Linked DNA regions of Rhinolophus ferrumequinum. Each later gene encodes a partner of the first gene's protein in a complex. Links are inferred from orthologs where the notes say so. Each region holds a gene or a part of one and is shown on either strand. Other genes may lie near its edges.

Region 1 (7,954 bases):
AATTTCTTTAAGAATCCCCGAGTGAAAATCCTGCTAACTACTATAACACTCCTCTAGGCACCAAAAAGTACTATTTCCTGCTCATTTTGTTCCAAGAGACATGTGCTTTAAGAGAGCATGATCTCATAGAACTATAGAAACAAATGTTAGAGTGTGTATCAAGATGTCTAGGGCACCTCAAATGGTGGGGAGGATGCAGGCTTTTACTGCAGGTCTATGACATGTCTCACCCCACCACTTCTGGGGTCTGATGCTGAGAGAAAAGGAAGAAACATTGGGTCTACATTCCCGTATGGAAATTGCGGCCTGGAAAGGCTGTCCCCATTTAGTGGGGAATGTGCCCTCCAGTTCTCCCACGCTCCCACCTCTCTCTACTCAGGGAGGCTGACTTTCAGGTGCCATTTATTATCATGCTTGTGTAAACACTGGGTAAATGCCACCATTTCCCAATTTGTAGAAATGTGAAGATTTGCTGTTAAGAAATATTTCTCTGATCCCTATTCTCTATAAAAGTTAGGAAAATGGAGCTGATTCATGTACTTATATTACTACCTAGCCCCTGTAGGCATGAGTGTGAGCCAGAAATCTAGAATTTTGTGTGAAATCCCTTGATTTTAAGATGTTGCCCCACATCTTTCAAAAAAACTCTTTAGGAGTTAAAAGATCATCTTCAGGAGGGCATCTTACCATGGCTGGCATAGAAGGGTCAGTATTTTGGTGTTGTGGAAGCTTACAGCTTAAGGATAGTGGTGATGGAGAATGACTCTGAAGAGGCAGGTCAGAGCCCAGTAAAGAAAGGCCCTGTGGGTCGCGAAAGGTGTGTTGAATTCTGGGAAGAGCATTGCAAAGGTGTGAGATCAAATAAATGTATTATCCTGTCTCCAGTTCCAGGATGGTGGGGTTTATGCGAGGGACAGTTTGGAATATAGATCTTTCTGCCTCTTTTGGACCATTCTGTCCCATTTCTCACCTGCAGTCCCTAGATTACAGAGGGCAAGGCATGACCTGATAGGACCACCTTAGCCACTCCTCTCTATCTTGAAGCTATTATAGCACTGGAGGGATAAAGGCAAGCTTCTTTGGAGAGACGTCTGCTTCCCTCTACAAATCCGCCTCCCCCCCAACTTCTGGAGGGTATGGCCTTAAAAGGGCACAAGGAGAGCCCTAGTTATGTCCCCCCCACCCTCCTCACCAGCAGGAGTGGCGGGCCAAAGGAAGTCCATCATTTTTCCTCCAAGCGATTTCTGCTGTTCAGTGCCACCAATACACAGAAGCGTGAAATAGGGATACAGATTACAGCAACTTTCAAATTTTCCACCACTGCCCACAGTTGAGGCCACAGAAATACATTTTACATCAGTGCCATATAAAATATATATACAACTGAAGAAGTAAAAGTTTTGCAAAACAACACATACCCAAATACTATGTGCAAAAATGCACTGATATTCTCCACTCCATTCTCTCTTTTTGTCAACGTGGCCATCACACACTACATCAATTTCAAAACCCTCTAATGGGTTGCTAATTGAGTTGAAAAACACCTGCTTACAGTCTGAAGTCCATAAAACCAATATTTCCCGAAGAGTCTCTTATATTTCAGATGTATGAGTAATACCTATGCCTAAAGCCACTAGCAAACAATATAACTCTAAAAGAAACATGGAGATAATTTTTTTCTATTTTTTATTTAGTTACTAGTTTTCAGTTAGCTTCCATTTGGAAAGTTATCACTTTTCCAGTGATACTGATGTTTCACTTAAAGAAATGATTTTTTTTTTAGTTTTCTTTTAAATAAATGTATTTAAGTTTAAAAAGTGATTTAAAGAAAAATATATTACATAAGTAATAGTATAGGAAATAGGTATGTAAAAAAATCTCAAATATGTTACTCATGTTCTAAAGTGTGGGAAAACTATATTGCACCATTCCATAGTGAAGTAACAAGAAATCTATTTTCCTAAATATTAGATCTGCTTTTGTAGAATTTGCTAATTACTCCCAGGAAGTTTAGGTTACATGACACATTGGATTGCATTTGACTTTTCCCCAGCTGCCTCTTAAAACCAAGCCAGTGCTTTTTCCAAGCACCTGTTGGGCAGTTTTGAGTTCAGCATCCATTTGCAAAGTGATTTGTGCAGGTCTTGAGATGCTGGGGTTGCCTTCCCTTCTTCAGATCATCGCCTGGTCTTTCTTTCCCTGTCAGGTATTCAAGTTAATTATTTCTTATTTCTCTGAGTCTGTTCCTTATTCCCCTTCCCAGATGACCTCTACCCTCTCTCCACACCTTTTCTTGGCCACAGACTGGTAGCTATGCAGCAAACCCAGCCTGCCCTAGCCCACCCTCCAACAAGAGTCTTCTAGTTTACTCCAGAGTGTAGCAATCTCACAGCAAAACAATGTCAAATTGTCTGGAAAATCAGAAGTTACTTTTAGTCCCCTCTGCTTTTTAGTAACATTCTTCATTCTTTGTAACTTATTAAGCTTTTGTTCTCTTAGTCCCTGCCCCCTAAAGTACTGGGTGAGTCAATCTGCCCCAGTTGTTTTCTCTTTTTGACTGCTTGGGATCTCTGGCATGAGTTATACTGCCACACCTCTCAGGACTCCCACCTTGGGCTTGACTGTTGGGCTTGACATTCCTAGCAAACAATCTGTTGTTCATGCAACATTGTTTCTGCTGCTGCCCCATTCCCTTCCCTTCAAGGCCAGAGTTGGAGCTCTTCTATTGTCTTTAACAACTCAGGATGCTAAACTGAGATCAACTCTACCATATAGACGCCTCATGCATAGAAGCCACTCTGTTCTGTGGCCTTTGCTTCCTCTTCTCATGTCCCCAAATCTTCCCAAACTAGCCTTTTAAGGTCAGCTGGCCTTAATTTCTCCAAATTATTTTTCCAATCCTGTCTGAAGTTTTTTTTTTCTTTTCTGTTTTTCACCTATCTTCTTTTTTTTCTTTTTTTTTTTTTAATTTATTGGGGTGACAATTGTTAGTAAAATTACATAGATTTCAGGTGTGCAATTCTGTATCACATCATCCATAAATCACACTGTGTTCACCACCTAGAGTCAGCTCCCCTTCCATCACCATACATTTGATCCCCCTCACCCTCATCCCCCACCCCCCAACCCCTTTACCTTCTGGTAACCACCAAATTACGTTCCCCAGATTAATTTTCAAACCCGTGGCCATCCTGTGGTCACCGACTGCCCTCCAATCCCCTCACCCTCCCCCCCACCCCCCACCCCTCCCGCCCATCTAGCAACCCTGTTTTTCCTCATTGTCTCCAAAACTGTTTCTGATTAGTTCATTCACTTATTCTTTTCTTTAGAATCCGCAAATAAGTGAGATCATATGGTACTTATCTTTCTCTGTCTGACTTATTTCACTTAACATAATGTTCTCTAGGTCCATCCATGTTGTTGCAAATGGTAAGATTTCTTTCTTCTTTATGGCTGCATAATACTCCATTGTATAAATGTACCACAGTTTCTTAATCCAGTCATCTACTGATGGGCATTTTGGTTGTTTCCATGTCTTAGCTATTGTGTATAGTGCTGCAATAAACATAGGAGTGCATAAAGATTTTTGAATTGAAGTTTTGGATTTCTCCGGATCTGTCTGAAGTTTTGTCTCTTCTAATTCAGTCTTGTCTATTTTACTCATCATCCTTTCCCTGAGCCCCACCCAAGTTTTTCTCTACCCTTGTCTCCTGGAGAGCAAATGCCTGAACTCTTTAACATCTTTTACCTACTGTACAGCTTCCTGGCTATCTATTTCTGGACCACTACAAATTAATGTGTAAAAAGCCCTTACATTAACTGTGTGTGTGTGTGAGTGTGTGCGTGCATACATGCACACACATTCAAAGTGGGAGAAGGCATATAAACAAAATAGTGTCCAACACTATTTGGGGGGAGAAAAGAGCCTTAGAGAGTCCTAGCAGTTCTGATTAGTACATTGAGCATATTTCACCCTGCAACCCAAATTTGTATCTTTTTGAACACAGTTTAAACAAAGAAGAGCCTTGATGCTTATTGAGGATTTAGATAACTACTTCCCTGTTAAGATTTTTTTTTAATTGTGTTTTCATTATGACTCCATCTCCATTTATTGATCAAGGGATTTCTTGCCTCACTTAACTCCATAATCTGTTGCTCAGATTAAGAAAATGTGGAAACTATTGTTTGGTAGCATGAGTACAGACTTTAAAGTGCTACCTTGGAGGCTTGGATGATTCAAATACTGTAATCCAAGAAAAGCAACTAATTGATCACGCAGAACATGTTTTTATGCATTACTCTTTTTTATGGACTGCACATGCAATGAAACGAATTAGATTAAATGCTTTGTAGATGTGCTGTAATAGAAGCAGGAACTTACTCGTGTAGAAACATCCAACAGAAGCACTCAGACAAGAGATAGGAAATAAAACATGTAAAAAAGCCCTTAATGAACAATGTATGTCTTTATTCATTCCACACATTTTGAGCATCTATTATGTTCTTTTTGTACATAAGAAACAATGCTAGTAATAATAACTTCTCAGTTAAGAGAAGCAGAAAAATGTTCCTTATTTTAGTATTTCCTTTCTTGCATCACTACTACCTAGTATATAGACAGCTGTGCATGTGTGCTTTTTGGATGAATGCGAGACCTGTACATTCACTGTTTACCTTCTACCCTCCACTTTGCCTGCCACCTTGTTCGCCATTTTATTCCTCATTAATTCTTCCTCCTGAGGGCTAACTGGGAAGGAAAGGAGGTGAACTTCAGGTCAGTCAGGCATGCTTCGCTTCCAAAGCAGTTAAATCTCAGTGCAATAAACTTTAAAGACCTGTCTAAATTCTTTTGTGTCATTTAAGATTTTGTTCCATCCAACTGATTGAACAGGCCTGCCAATCAAAACTTGGACATCCTTGTGATTGATATATTGGTTAATAGTTGTAACAGTGTCTGACCTACCTCCGGAAAATTTTGTAGTAAGTTAAGAGTCTGTCTAAAAAAACGAAGGAACTCTAAGTTGCTCAGTACTTATTACATGAGAAACTCAACTGTGTGGTTTACATCGCTTATCTTTTATGGTTTACAATTACCAAAAAAAGTAGATACTATTTTATAGATGTGGAAACTGAGGCTCACTCTGAGTAGTCCGTCAGTTTGTAAAGAAAAACCCTGGCTAACAGTCTCCAAAGCACAGGCCATTTACAAAGGAGGACTGGAGATTGCTGGTGGCTTTCACTTATCTATGCTGTCCACACTTAAACATGGGTAATTGAAACCCGACCCTATGTTCCTTTCCAAAATCTCCAAGGAATCTGGCTGCAGAGACTTCATAGATAACTCCTTTCAGCAGCTGAGAAACAAAATACTTCTGTGGAATAAAAAGTCTTTATTTCAATGGGTTTTTTTCCTTCTTAAAAAAAAGAAAGAGAATCCACTACAGCACTTAACAAGAATATTAACAGAATGGACAAGTCTTCAAATCTGGCTGTGCAGACTACGGAGGAAATGGTGGCAGCATTAGGGCACTTTGGCCTAAGATGCTAAAGACACAATGTAATGAACAGCTGGGGATTTCAGAGACACGATTGTGAGACACAGAAAACCCAATTGTAGGCCATCCTCACTAAAGGTAGCTGCAGGGCTGGGGTTGCTTCTGCAAACCTCGCCCCTCGCTCTCGATCAGGCGGGTGTCGCCAGCTGCCGCAGCGCCCACGGCGGCCCACGCCTTCCTGCCCCCAAGGACCAGCCAAGGCTGACGCCGCGGGGACTCGGCAGCGCGCCCCCATCCTCTGCACACGTGACGGCGGGGCAGTTTTCCTTCTCCCCTCCCCCTTCCCGAAACCCCTCCTTCTCCTGAGAGGCTGCGGCTCTCTATTGCGCTACTACAGCAATGACCGCCGTGCCAGCCAATCAGAACGCGACTCTTCAAGTAAGACCCGCCCCCTGATGGTCCTCAGGTTCCTTCCCGCTCACACAGGAGTCACTTCCGAAGAAAGAGAACCGCCATGAAGAGAGCCGGGGGTGCCGCCCACCTCCGCTCCGACAGCCTCCCGGAGTCCCAGCAGCAAGACGGCAACCACGCACCCAACTTCTCCAGCCACAGCTCATGCCGCCGTCGCCAGCGGCGCCGACATGACAAGGCGCTGCATGCTCACTAGACCAGGTTTCCCCTCATCCCCAGCCCCGGGGTCGTCGCCCCCGCGCTGTCATCTGAGACCGGGTAGTACCGTCCCTGCTGCAGCGGGAAAGAGAACACAGAGTCCTGGGGAAAGGTACCGTGCGGAGGGCTTGAGAAGGGGCCGGGTCGCGGGGGCAAGGGTATGAGGGAGGATTGCAGACGGCCGCTCTTCCAGCTCCCGCCATCCTCCGCGAGCTCAGGCCTCTGTTTTCCGGGGCCTGGCAAACCCCCGCCCCGCCTTCGCGCGGGGGCTCCTGGGAGTTCGAGTTTTCTTCTCTGTAGTTGGGACGCTGTCCTCGGTCTAGTGACCACCTCCGAGGTGGCTAGGGAGATCCCGCCTTAGGTAGAACGTAATTTTTGTCCTTTACGATAGCTGGACCCGGGGCCCTAACCGGTTAATGCATATTTACGTGGTTTCTGTTGTCAGTTTTACTGATCCTAGTGGTTTAATAGTACAAATCTTTCTGTCGTGTGGGTGAAATTATGTAAGATGTGATGAGGAAAACCCTTCCACTACTTTATAGTTCAATATACACGGTAATTCATACTTGAAAAAACATGTATATTTGGCGTGTGATATGTTTTCTCCAGTAACTTTACTTCTCGCCAAGAGGCCAGTTACTATGTAAACATTTTGTGGGAGCCTATGTGATGAGATGGGGAGTTCCTCAAATGACATCCTCTGACAATAAAACGTATTTACATTCTCTACACACTTGGTACTGTCTTTTTTATTTTAAGTTTAAAAGCTTGTAACATAAGTTTAACAGTAAATTTATCTTCTAACATTGTGGTACAGATCCACAATCCCTTGTCTTATTTCGGAAAGTCAGAAAGGTATGAAAACCCAAAGTTTTCAATAGGTTTGGCACCACATCTTACTTGGCAGCCAAACGTGACTCGAATTAATGGAAGCTGTATAAGGTCTTTATCCCATTAAGTGTAAGTATTCATAAGTTTTGCTGGAGAAATATTAATGAGCTTGCTTACAGAGTTCAGTGTCAGACCCCACTGGGGGGCTTTACATATTGCATCCAAGTTACCCCCTTTCTAAAATCTAGTACGTTCAGCGAATTAACATACATTTGGCCGCAAAAGTTTCAGATAAGGATTTGTGAGCTGTTAGTTTGTGAGTTTTTGTATTAGTGTATGTGCTGTCAAAGCGAGCATAAGTTTTTTAACTAGTTATAAATAAGTAATAAACATTTCTGTGCATATGAACGTAGCAAACGGTTCTTTCTTGAAAGTTACATTCATAGTTTACAAATTTCTTGTATGTTTACTCAAAACCATTTTCTCTTGTATATTTCTTGAAAAGGAGCCAGGGATCAATATTTTAGGGAAGAGATATAGTGTTACTTTTCGTAATTAATGTAAAAGCATTTAATATTGTTTTGAATTCATTAACTGCTTCTTAATCCTGTGCCATCTCTCTTTCCTCAACCAATAACTGAAGGCATCATCCTGTGCTTTACAGAACCTCTAACATTTCTTTCTTTACTCTCCTGTCGTGGAATTAATTTGCCTGATATAATTTATGAAACCAAATGCATAGATTCTTCCATCACTCATATTCATTTAATAACCACTTAGCTTTTCTACCAACATCTCAAACAAACATTGTAAACTCTCAGTAAACCATTAAAGATGGGCATTACTCTTTTAATGTGGCCAGTAAAGTGGACAAGATTTAGAAACTTAACCTTCAAGGGTCTTGGATTGTTCCAAGTTTTCTCTGAGTATTCCAATCTCATAGTGGATAAATGTTTAGA
Region 2 (7,811 bases), on another chromosome or scaffold:
AAATTAGACATTAATGTATTTTTGTGTATACACACAGAAAACTTCTGGAACAATACACAAAAACTGTTAGTTATCCCTGGAGAGTGGGAATGGACATGGGTGAGTTCTTACTGATTGCCTGAATTATTTCCTCTGTTTGTTTGTTTGTTTGTTTGTTTATTTATTTCAAGATTTTATTGGGGAAGGGGAACAGGACTTTATTGGGGAACAGTGTGTACTTCCAGGACTTTTTTCCAAGTCAAATTGTTGTCCTTTCAATCTTAGTTGTGGAGGGCACAGCTCAGCTCCAGGTCCAGTTGCCGTTGTTAGTTGCAGGACACGCAGCCCACCATCCCTTGCGGGAGTTGAGGAATCGGACAGGCAACCTTGTGGTTGAGAGCCCACTGGCCCCTGTGGGAATCGAACCGGCAGCCTTCGGTGTTAGGAGCACAGAGTTCCAACCGCCTGAGCCCCTGGGCCGACCCCTATTTCCTCTGTTTATAATTTAAAAATATTTTTTATAATTTAAAATGGGGTAATTTTATTTTTCAAATGATATGATTGTGTACCTAAAAAAAAGCCAGAGAGCCTATTGGAGGATACAGGGTTTCCTTCTGGAGTGAAGAAAATGTTCTAAAATTAGGTAGTGGTGATGGCTGTACAAGTCAGGGAATTCTATGGGTGAATTTTATGTACGGTATGAAATTACATCTCCATATAGGCAAGTCTCTCAACGCCCCTGAACTTTTACATGGTTATCCTATCACCCTATCTAATTTGCAAGAAAGATAAAAGGAGAAAAGCTTGGATTTTTTTTTAGAAAAGAGTAAGAATATCTGGGGAAACAAGATTTAAATTGGGTACTACTCTCTACAACTTGCCCTCATTTCTCTTCCACTCAGAAGGCTCAAGATCAAAATGCTTTGGGTGGGTGGTCATGAGGCGGGAGCAGTTTGAGAGTGCACCCACTTACAGTGAAGGGCCACCACAGACACACAGACTGGGCTAAGGATGACATCTGTGCTCTTGAAGAAGGAAGCTGGACTAGGTAGGATAAGGGGAAAGGGACAAGAGCTGGCACAGAAGGAAGCAGGCAGGGAGGAGCATGTTCAAGGGGGGCTGAAAGAAGGGGCAGCGGGAAACAGGAGGAGCCAGGAGCAAAGGCAGCTGTGAGTTCTTCTGCGGTCTTTTTTCCTTCCACCTTTTCCCTCTCTGTACTCTTTGATGAACTGTCACTATTAGGCCTTTGATGCTTTCTACTTCGGTGATTACCAAGTCTCTCCCCGTCCTGACTTTTCTCTGGAGATCAGTGTCTCTGGGCGGGCCACACCCATGTATGTACATTTCCCATTAGCACTTTAAATCCAGTAGGTCCAGGCTGAACTCAGCATCTCCTTCACTCCAAGTCTGCGACTACTCTTGTACCCGCTTTCACTTATCCAACATCCACCAGAACTGCTCTCTCTCCCCCATTCATTCCTTCAATCATTCTTTCGCCCAACAAATATTTGTTGTGGACCTACTATGTCTTACAACACTGTCACAGCACTAGGTACATCCATTCACTTACCAGCTGAATCACTTTTACCTTGAAAATCTTTTCTATCTCATCTAAATTCTTTACTGAGATTTATTGACAACCTCTCTTGCTTGAACCCTGGCAACAAAGCACTATATGTTAATTTCTTTTGCATGCCATTCATTCTGTAGTGGCCACTATACCTGGGGCACAGAAGGGGCTCACCGTGGAGGCTTAGGGACCAAACTGTCTGGGAAGGGGATTGGAGGAGCAGAAGTTAGATTTGTCTTGAAGGAATATTTGCATATGAAGAAAGGCGTTTTCCTTTAACGGTATGTTACAGTTCTATAAAGTAAGCACGGTCATTCCTCTATTTCTGGGGTACGGCTTTGGGAGGCTGGGAAGGGTACCGGAAGTCTGATATTGAAAGTCTTCTGATAGAAAGCCTGTACATCTCCCACCCCTTGAGAACTCAATAGCCACTTGTTGAATATATCACCTTCTATGAGAGGGACCACGGATGTTGTGTTCTCCATGGTATCCCCAGCCTCTGAAACATCTGGCCCATTGTAGTGGCCCAATAAATATCTGTGGAGGATTCTAGAAAGGCAGAGACCATAGATGTTTTATTTACCATCTTAGCAAGGACAAAGACCTGGAGCCCAAGGGAAAAAGAACTAGTGCAAGATGTTTCCCTTCCTTTAGAGCTTGGTAAATGTTTGCTAAGCGATATAAATCACCCTCCTGAACAACTCCAAAATCGGGCCCCTCGCTCGGCCGCCAGGCCCTGGAGCAGGGCCACCATCTGGCCCAGGCCCGCAATTCCCTCCCTTCCTCCCAGCCCGGGCTCCTGTTACCTCCCTGCACACATCTGTACCCACCACAAGCCAAACAATTACACGCTCCCGCGTCTCGGCCTCGAAGTCGGGGGCTCCCCCCAAGCCCCTCTGTCCCCTTGCACCCCTAGGCCCGGGGAAGCCCCCGGCCCGGCCTGATCCCGCCGCCTGCTGTGGGCTCTGGAGGTCCCCACCCCCGGCGCGCCTGGACTTCGCCCATGTGCTCCGCTGCGGCTCTCCAGCCTCGGCCCACTCGGGCTTGAGCGCGGAGCCAGAGGCCTGGCCGCCCCCGCCGGGGCCCGCCGCGCTCTACCCGGCCCGAGTGGCCCGAAAGGCGGCAAGGCGGGAAGCGGCTGTTGCTGTGAGACGCCACGGGCAGGCGGTGGGGGCGCCGGGGACAGTGGCCCGGGCCGAGGGTCGCAAAGCTGCGCGGCCCGAGCGGAGGCGGCGCTGCGGCTGCAGCGGCTCGCTCACTCACCACGGTCCGGCGGGACAGCGCACCGGAGGTCCGGGACAGGGCCCGGCGGAGCCGCCGCGCCCGGCCCGAGCGGGTCCCCTCGGAGCTCTCGGAGCCGCTGTCGTCCGAGATCACGATAAAATCATCCATGGCTGCGGACCCCGCGCAGCCAGCGCGCAGGTGGCCGGCGACCCAGGCGGCAGTGGCAGCGGCGACTCGGTTCCTGTTGCCGAGGCGGCGGCGGTGGCGACAAACCTGGCCATCACCCCGCAGGCCCCGCCCTTCCCGCCCCAGCCCCGCCCCGAGCCCCGCCCCGTGCCCACCCCGAGCCCCGCCCCCAAGGCCGCGGGCCGCGGGCTGCGCACGGAGGTTCAAGGCCGTGGTCACTGAGCTTGGCGGTGGCACTCGTCCTCCCTTTCTGAAGAGAAGAAAAAAGAGAAAACCGAGTTGCAGCTGGTTTGGGCCGCTGTTGGGGGCGGGCGTGCGAGACACTGCAGCTGCGAGGGCTTCCCCAACTGCTTCCGATTGACTCATGTGAAGAGGTGTGACAAGCCACACGGATCGCTGACTGATCCGGAGGGGCTGGCGGGGGGGAGGCCTGGCCTGGGGCTGAGGGGGGAGGGCCCCCGACTGACTGCCGGGGGGTGGGGACAGGGGGGATCCCTGGCCTGGGGCTGAGGCGGGGGCGGGCCTAGCCTCGGCCTGCGCCTGGGGAGAGAGGCCCCACTTCGCTGTGCACGTGTGCAAGTACATCTGTAGGATAAATTCCTCCAAGTGGAATTACTGGGTGAAATGAAATGTTTCTGTTGTTTCGATAATTATGCCAGATTACTCTCCTAAATTGTGCCAACTTGCAGTTTCAGCAACAATCCATGTCACTCCGTGTTGCAAGCGCCTGGAAGTGCAGTTGCCACATTTCAGTCTCTTACTGAAAGTCAAGGGGACATTAACCCCTTGGCAGAGTCCTACATCCCTGCTTGGTACTTGTGACCTGAGTGGGGAACAAAGGCCAGACACACAGGTTCAGATAGAGTGAGTAACACAACTTTATTTGGGAACCAATGCCCCTCCCAGGCCAGTGCTCTGGTAAGCACCACAGGTTATCCGAGATAAAATAGAATTTAATGACAAACCAAGTCCCAGAGTCAATCGAGGTGGAGAAGGTTATTGGTCTGGGAGAGGTGACTGCGCCCATGGTGGGTCTGAGGCGAGCTGGTCTTGCAAAGAAGAACTTCGGAGAGTCCTGGTATCGGGGCTGGCACCTCGCGGAGGGTCTGAGCCGCAGCGCCCAGTCAGACTGCTCACAGCATCGCTCTGGAGTTCTGCCTTCATCCTCTTTTCCTTGGACTTGTTTACTTCTTATGTGATAACCAGAAGTCGTTTTGGTGACACTCAATTTTGTTATGCTCAGTTTCACACATAAACATAAACATGTTTACTTTCACTTTCATCAGTCTCACAACTAATATGAGATGAGATGAGATGAGATGATATGATACCAGGTCTTATATTAATTTTTGCTCCAAAAGATGCGTTAGAGCTGATGGTCCAGCTAGGTCTTATTTTTGGGGAAACACAGTAGTTGTTTTTTTGGTTTTTTTTCTTCAGATTTTTATTGGGGAAGGGGAACAGGACTTTATTGGGGAACAGTGTGTACTTCCAGGACTTTTTCCAAGTCAAGTTGTTGTCCTTTCAGTCTTAGTTGTGGAGGGCGCAGCTCAGCTCCAGGTCCAGTTGCTGTTGCTAGTTGCAGGGGGCGCAGCCCACCATCCCTTGCGGGACTCGAGTTGTTCAACTGGCAGCCTTGTGGTTGAGAGCCCACTGGCCCATGTGGGAATCGAACAGGCAGCCTTCGGAGTTAGAAGCACGGAGCTCCAACTGCCTGAGCCACCGGTCCGGCCCTACGGTAGTTGTTTTGCAAATTTCAATGCAACAACAACTTTGTTTATGTGCTCTATACACTCAGGGATTTAAACTGTGAGATGGAGACTTGTTCAGTTTGGAGCAGGATCAGAAACTGAAAAAAATGCACAGAGTAGCCATGAGGTAGCAGATGCCATAAATGATTAGATGTTATGAATGAGCAAAGTTATAAAGATGGAAAAAGATATACCCGGTAGAGGGAGCAGCAGTAGGTAGTTGACGTAGGACAGGAACATTAAAATCAAAATAGGATCTGTGTTACAATAAATGTGGGGTATTGACGAAATCCTACCTCTCAGGCTCCAGCAACTTAGTAAAATGGATTAACAGATTCAAAGGAAAATGTGTTTATTAGAAAAGGGGTTGGTTCCTAAGGGATGGTTATTAGCCACTGTCTAAGCATTGTCTAGTGCTGTGATCCTCAAACTTTACTGAGTATCAGAATCACCCAGAAGGCTTGTTAAAACAGATTGCTGGGTGCCACCCCAGAGTTTCTGATTTAGTACGCATGAGGTGGGGCCCAAAATTTTGCATTTCTCACAAGTTCCCAGGTGAGGTCCATACTGCTTTTCTGGGGACCACTCATTGAAAACCACTGGTCTGGGGGGCAGGGAGTCTATGGCCAACAGATTTCAGAATGGCTGAAACCATCCTTGCTGTGAAGGGATTCAGGCGTTGTCTTCTCCAAATGCCATTAAACACTGAGTCTATTTGACTCCCTGTGTGCTTCTTTTTAGTCTCCTTAGCTGATTCCTGCTCCTCTCTCCACTCCTTAGGTCTTGATATTCCTCAGAGTCCTGACATAGGCCACCTCCACACACAATCTCAACTATTCCCATGGCCTTCATGATAATTCTTATGCTGATGATTTGTATGATTCTCCTTATCTGAAGTACCTAGAAAAGGAAAATTCATCGAAATAGAAAGTAGAATAGAGGTTATCAGGGTTTGGAGGAAGGCAGAATAGGGAGTTATTTCATGGACAAAGTTTCCATTTGGGATGATGAAGAGTAGTCTGGGAATGGATCGTCATGAAGGTTGTACAAAACTGTGACTATTAGTACCACTGAATTGTACATGTAAAAATGATTATAATGGTACATTTTACCACAACAGAGATATGTGGATGTTTTTCTTTTATTAACAAATTGAAACATTATAGATCAGGTTAAAAGGCCCCTTGACCACCTCCTCCATCCTGACCCCTGTTTCCCTTCTTCAGTGCTTCCGTATTTACTCCTAGAGCTTTTCTATATATTTATCTGTATTCAGAAGTACTGGTCAGAATGACGTATGTTTTTAGCTATATCCAAAAGGTAAGTCTGCTTTCATATAGAAATTTGAAACCATCATTGGCAGTGAAAGTGTTCCAAGCAATTCGGTTTCCTGCCTTATTAATGGGGATTTTGGGGTGGATATACAACTTTGAAAGGTTTTTTTCTTTCATTTTTCTTGTTTTCATTATATGGCAGTGTCGGTGCCTGCAGACCCGCTTTTATTTGTGCCAAAGCTAGCCAGCTCAGGTTTCTCCCTCCACTAGGGAACACAGTCCCTTCTGCTGCATTCCAGGCACAATCTTCCAGTTTCAGGACCCTCCTAGCTGTTCTGGACTGCTTTTGTAGGGGGCCTCTAAGTGTACATAACTTTATTTAGATCATTTTCTTATCCTTTTCCCCTTTTCCCTCCCAGCTTCTAGTTTGCCGAGATATCAAGTAGATGTCAAAATTTTTGTAAAACATTTTTTTTATCCTTTATGTTCAAAGATGATGCATCCTCGGTTTGAGAAAATGAAAGCAATTCAGAGTGGTTACAAAGCAGAGTGTACAACCACATCACACTCTGATAGCCTCTTTCCATTCATCTCTCAGTAGTCAAAACCCGCAGGTACAAATATGTCCATCATTTTATGTAAGTGGCATCATATCATGCTCGTTGTATTGCAACTGGCTTTCTTACATTAAAAACCATGACTTTACAGTTTTCTGTGTCAGTGAATATAGGCCTACATTGTCTATATTATCCATTTTATTGGCTTGTAATAATATTCTTAAAATAGTATGACATTAGCTCTTCTTGTATTATAGAAAAGCACAAAGAAGCAAGCAAAAGAAACATCATGTTTTCCTATCCCTGATTCCTACAATGAACAGTTTGTAAAACTAAAAGAAACATATCTATGAGATTAGAAAATTCATGCTACAAAAAAATTACAAAAAAGATAAGAAATTTAGCTTTCCGAAGGCTAAATACCAAGTACCTAAATACCCAAATAAATAGTTTCTTGTGAATGCTTCAAAACATACAAAATTACTATATACCGTGTATACTTATTTCTTCTTTTGTATCTTTCTCTTTTTTGTTTGTTTTTAACACAAGAAAGATCACACTATACACAGTTATTTACTTTGCTTTTTTTCAGTTGATATATCTTGGGGATTGTTCCATAACTGCAAGATAACTGTATCTTTGTAACTCCTGCATAAAAAAGTTGTTAGTTAGGATGTGCAGCAATTTATTTAATCAGTTCCCCACGATGGATATTTTGTTTCTAGGGTTTTGTTTGTTTGTTGTGTGGTTTTGATTTTACTATTACCAATCATGCTACAAGAATCTTTTTGTTATTAAACTTAACAAATCTTGCTAGCAAATCTCCGCAGAGAAATCCTTAAGCCTCGGGGACTGGGTTAAAGGGTGTACGTGTTTTATGTGTTGATAGAAATTACCAAATTGTCATCTAGAGAGTTAACACCAAACAGCATTCCAACAAAGTGTTGAGAGTGCTTGTTTCCCAAAATTCTACAAGCATTGGTTATCAAACTTTAATTGTTGCCAATCAAAGAAATTGAAATTGGTGTATCTTGTTCTGATTTCCATTTATTACGAACAAAGTTGAGATACTTTTAAAATGCTCTTTGGCCCTTTGTAGTTTTTTTGTTCATACACATTCACTATATTTTCTCCTAGGCTGTTCATCTTTTTCAATAGATGTTACTAGAATTTGTATAACTAACTTATTGAGCAAAGTATTACATTGCTTGGATAATTTATTCAGCTAACTGTAACAATGAACACTTAGGTGTTTACAATATCATACTGC

Evidence for each region. Proteins that work in one complex are often made in the same cells at the same time.
Region 2: the proteins of SLF2 (region 1) and SIMC1 are in contact, whole or in part, in a cryo-EM structure (PDB 7T5P), measured with the Homo sapiens proteins. The link is inferred for Rhinolophus ferrumequinum from reciprocal best matches to the Homo sapiens genes SLF2 and SIMC1. Residues at the interface, in NP_060591.3 of Homo sapiens: His738, Val772, Leu775, Lys778, Asp783, Phe786, Gln790, Gly791, Phe792, Thr794, Ser795, Ala796, Tyr797, His798, Tyr799, Cys820, Ile821, Gln825, Ser828, Met831, Glu832, Ile835, Arg836, Asp838, Thr839, Ser841, Asp842, Ser843, Pro847, Lys919; in NP_001295125.1 of Homo sapiens: Tyr426, Arg428, Leu431, Lys435, Leu438, Pro440, Val442, His443, His444, Leu445, Phe447, Gln448, Arg470, Arg471, Phe490, Asp493, Pro497, Val521, Asp522, Lys525, Glu526, Tyr528, Met529, Met532, Lys533, Gln536, Leu537, Arg571, Asn658, Gln661.

The regions. Positions count from the first base shown.
Region 1 is NC_046299.1:23,760,054-23,768,007, reverse strand, and holds the start of SLF2 (SMC5-SMC6 complex localization factor protein 2), read left to right. Parts: upstream 1-4,888; 5' UTR 4,889-6,136; coding exon 6,137-6,276; intron 6,277-7,954. UniProt on the Homo sapiens protein: Plays a role in the DNA damage response (DDR) pathway by regulating postreplication repair of UV-damaged DNA and genomic stability maintenance.
Region 2 is NC_046307.1:40,258,262-40,266,072, reverse strand, and holds the start of SIMC1 (SUMO-interacting motif-containing protein 1), read right to left. Parts: upstream 3,065-7,811; 5' UTR 2,942-3,064; coding exon 2,813-2,941; intron 1-2,812.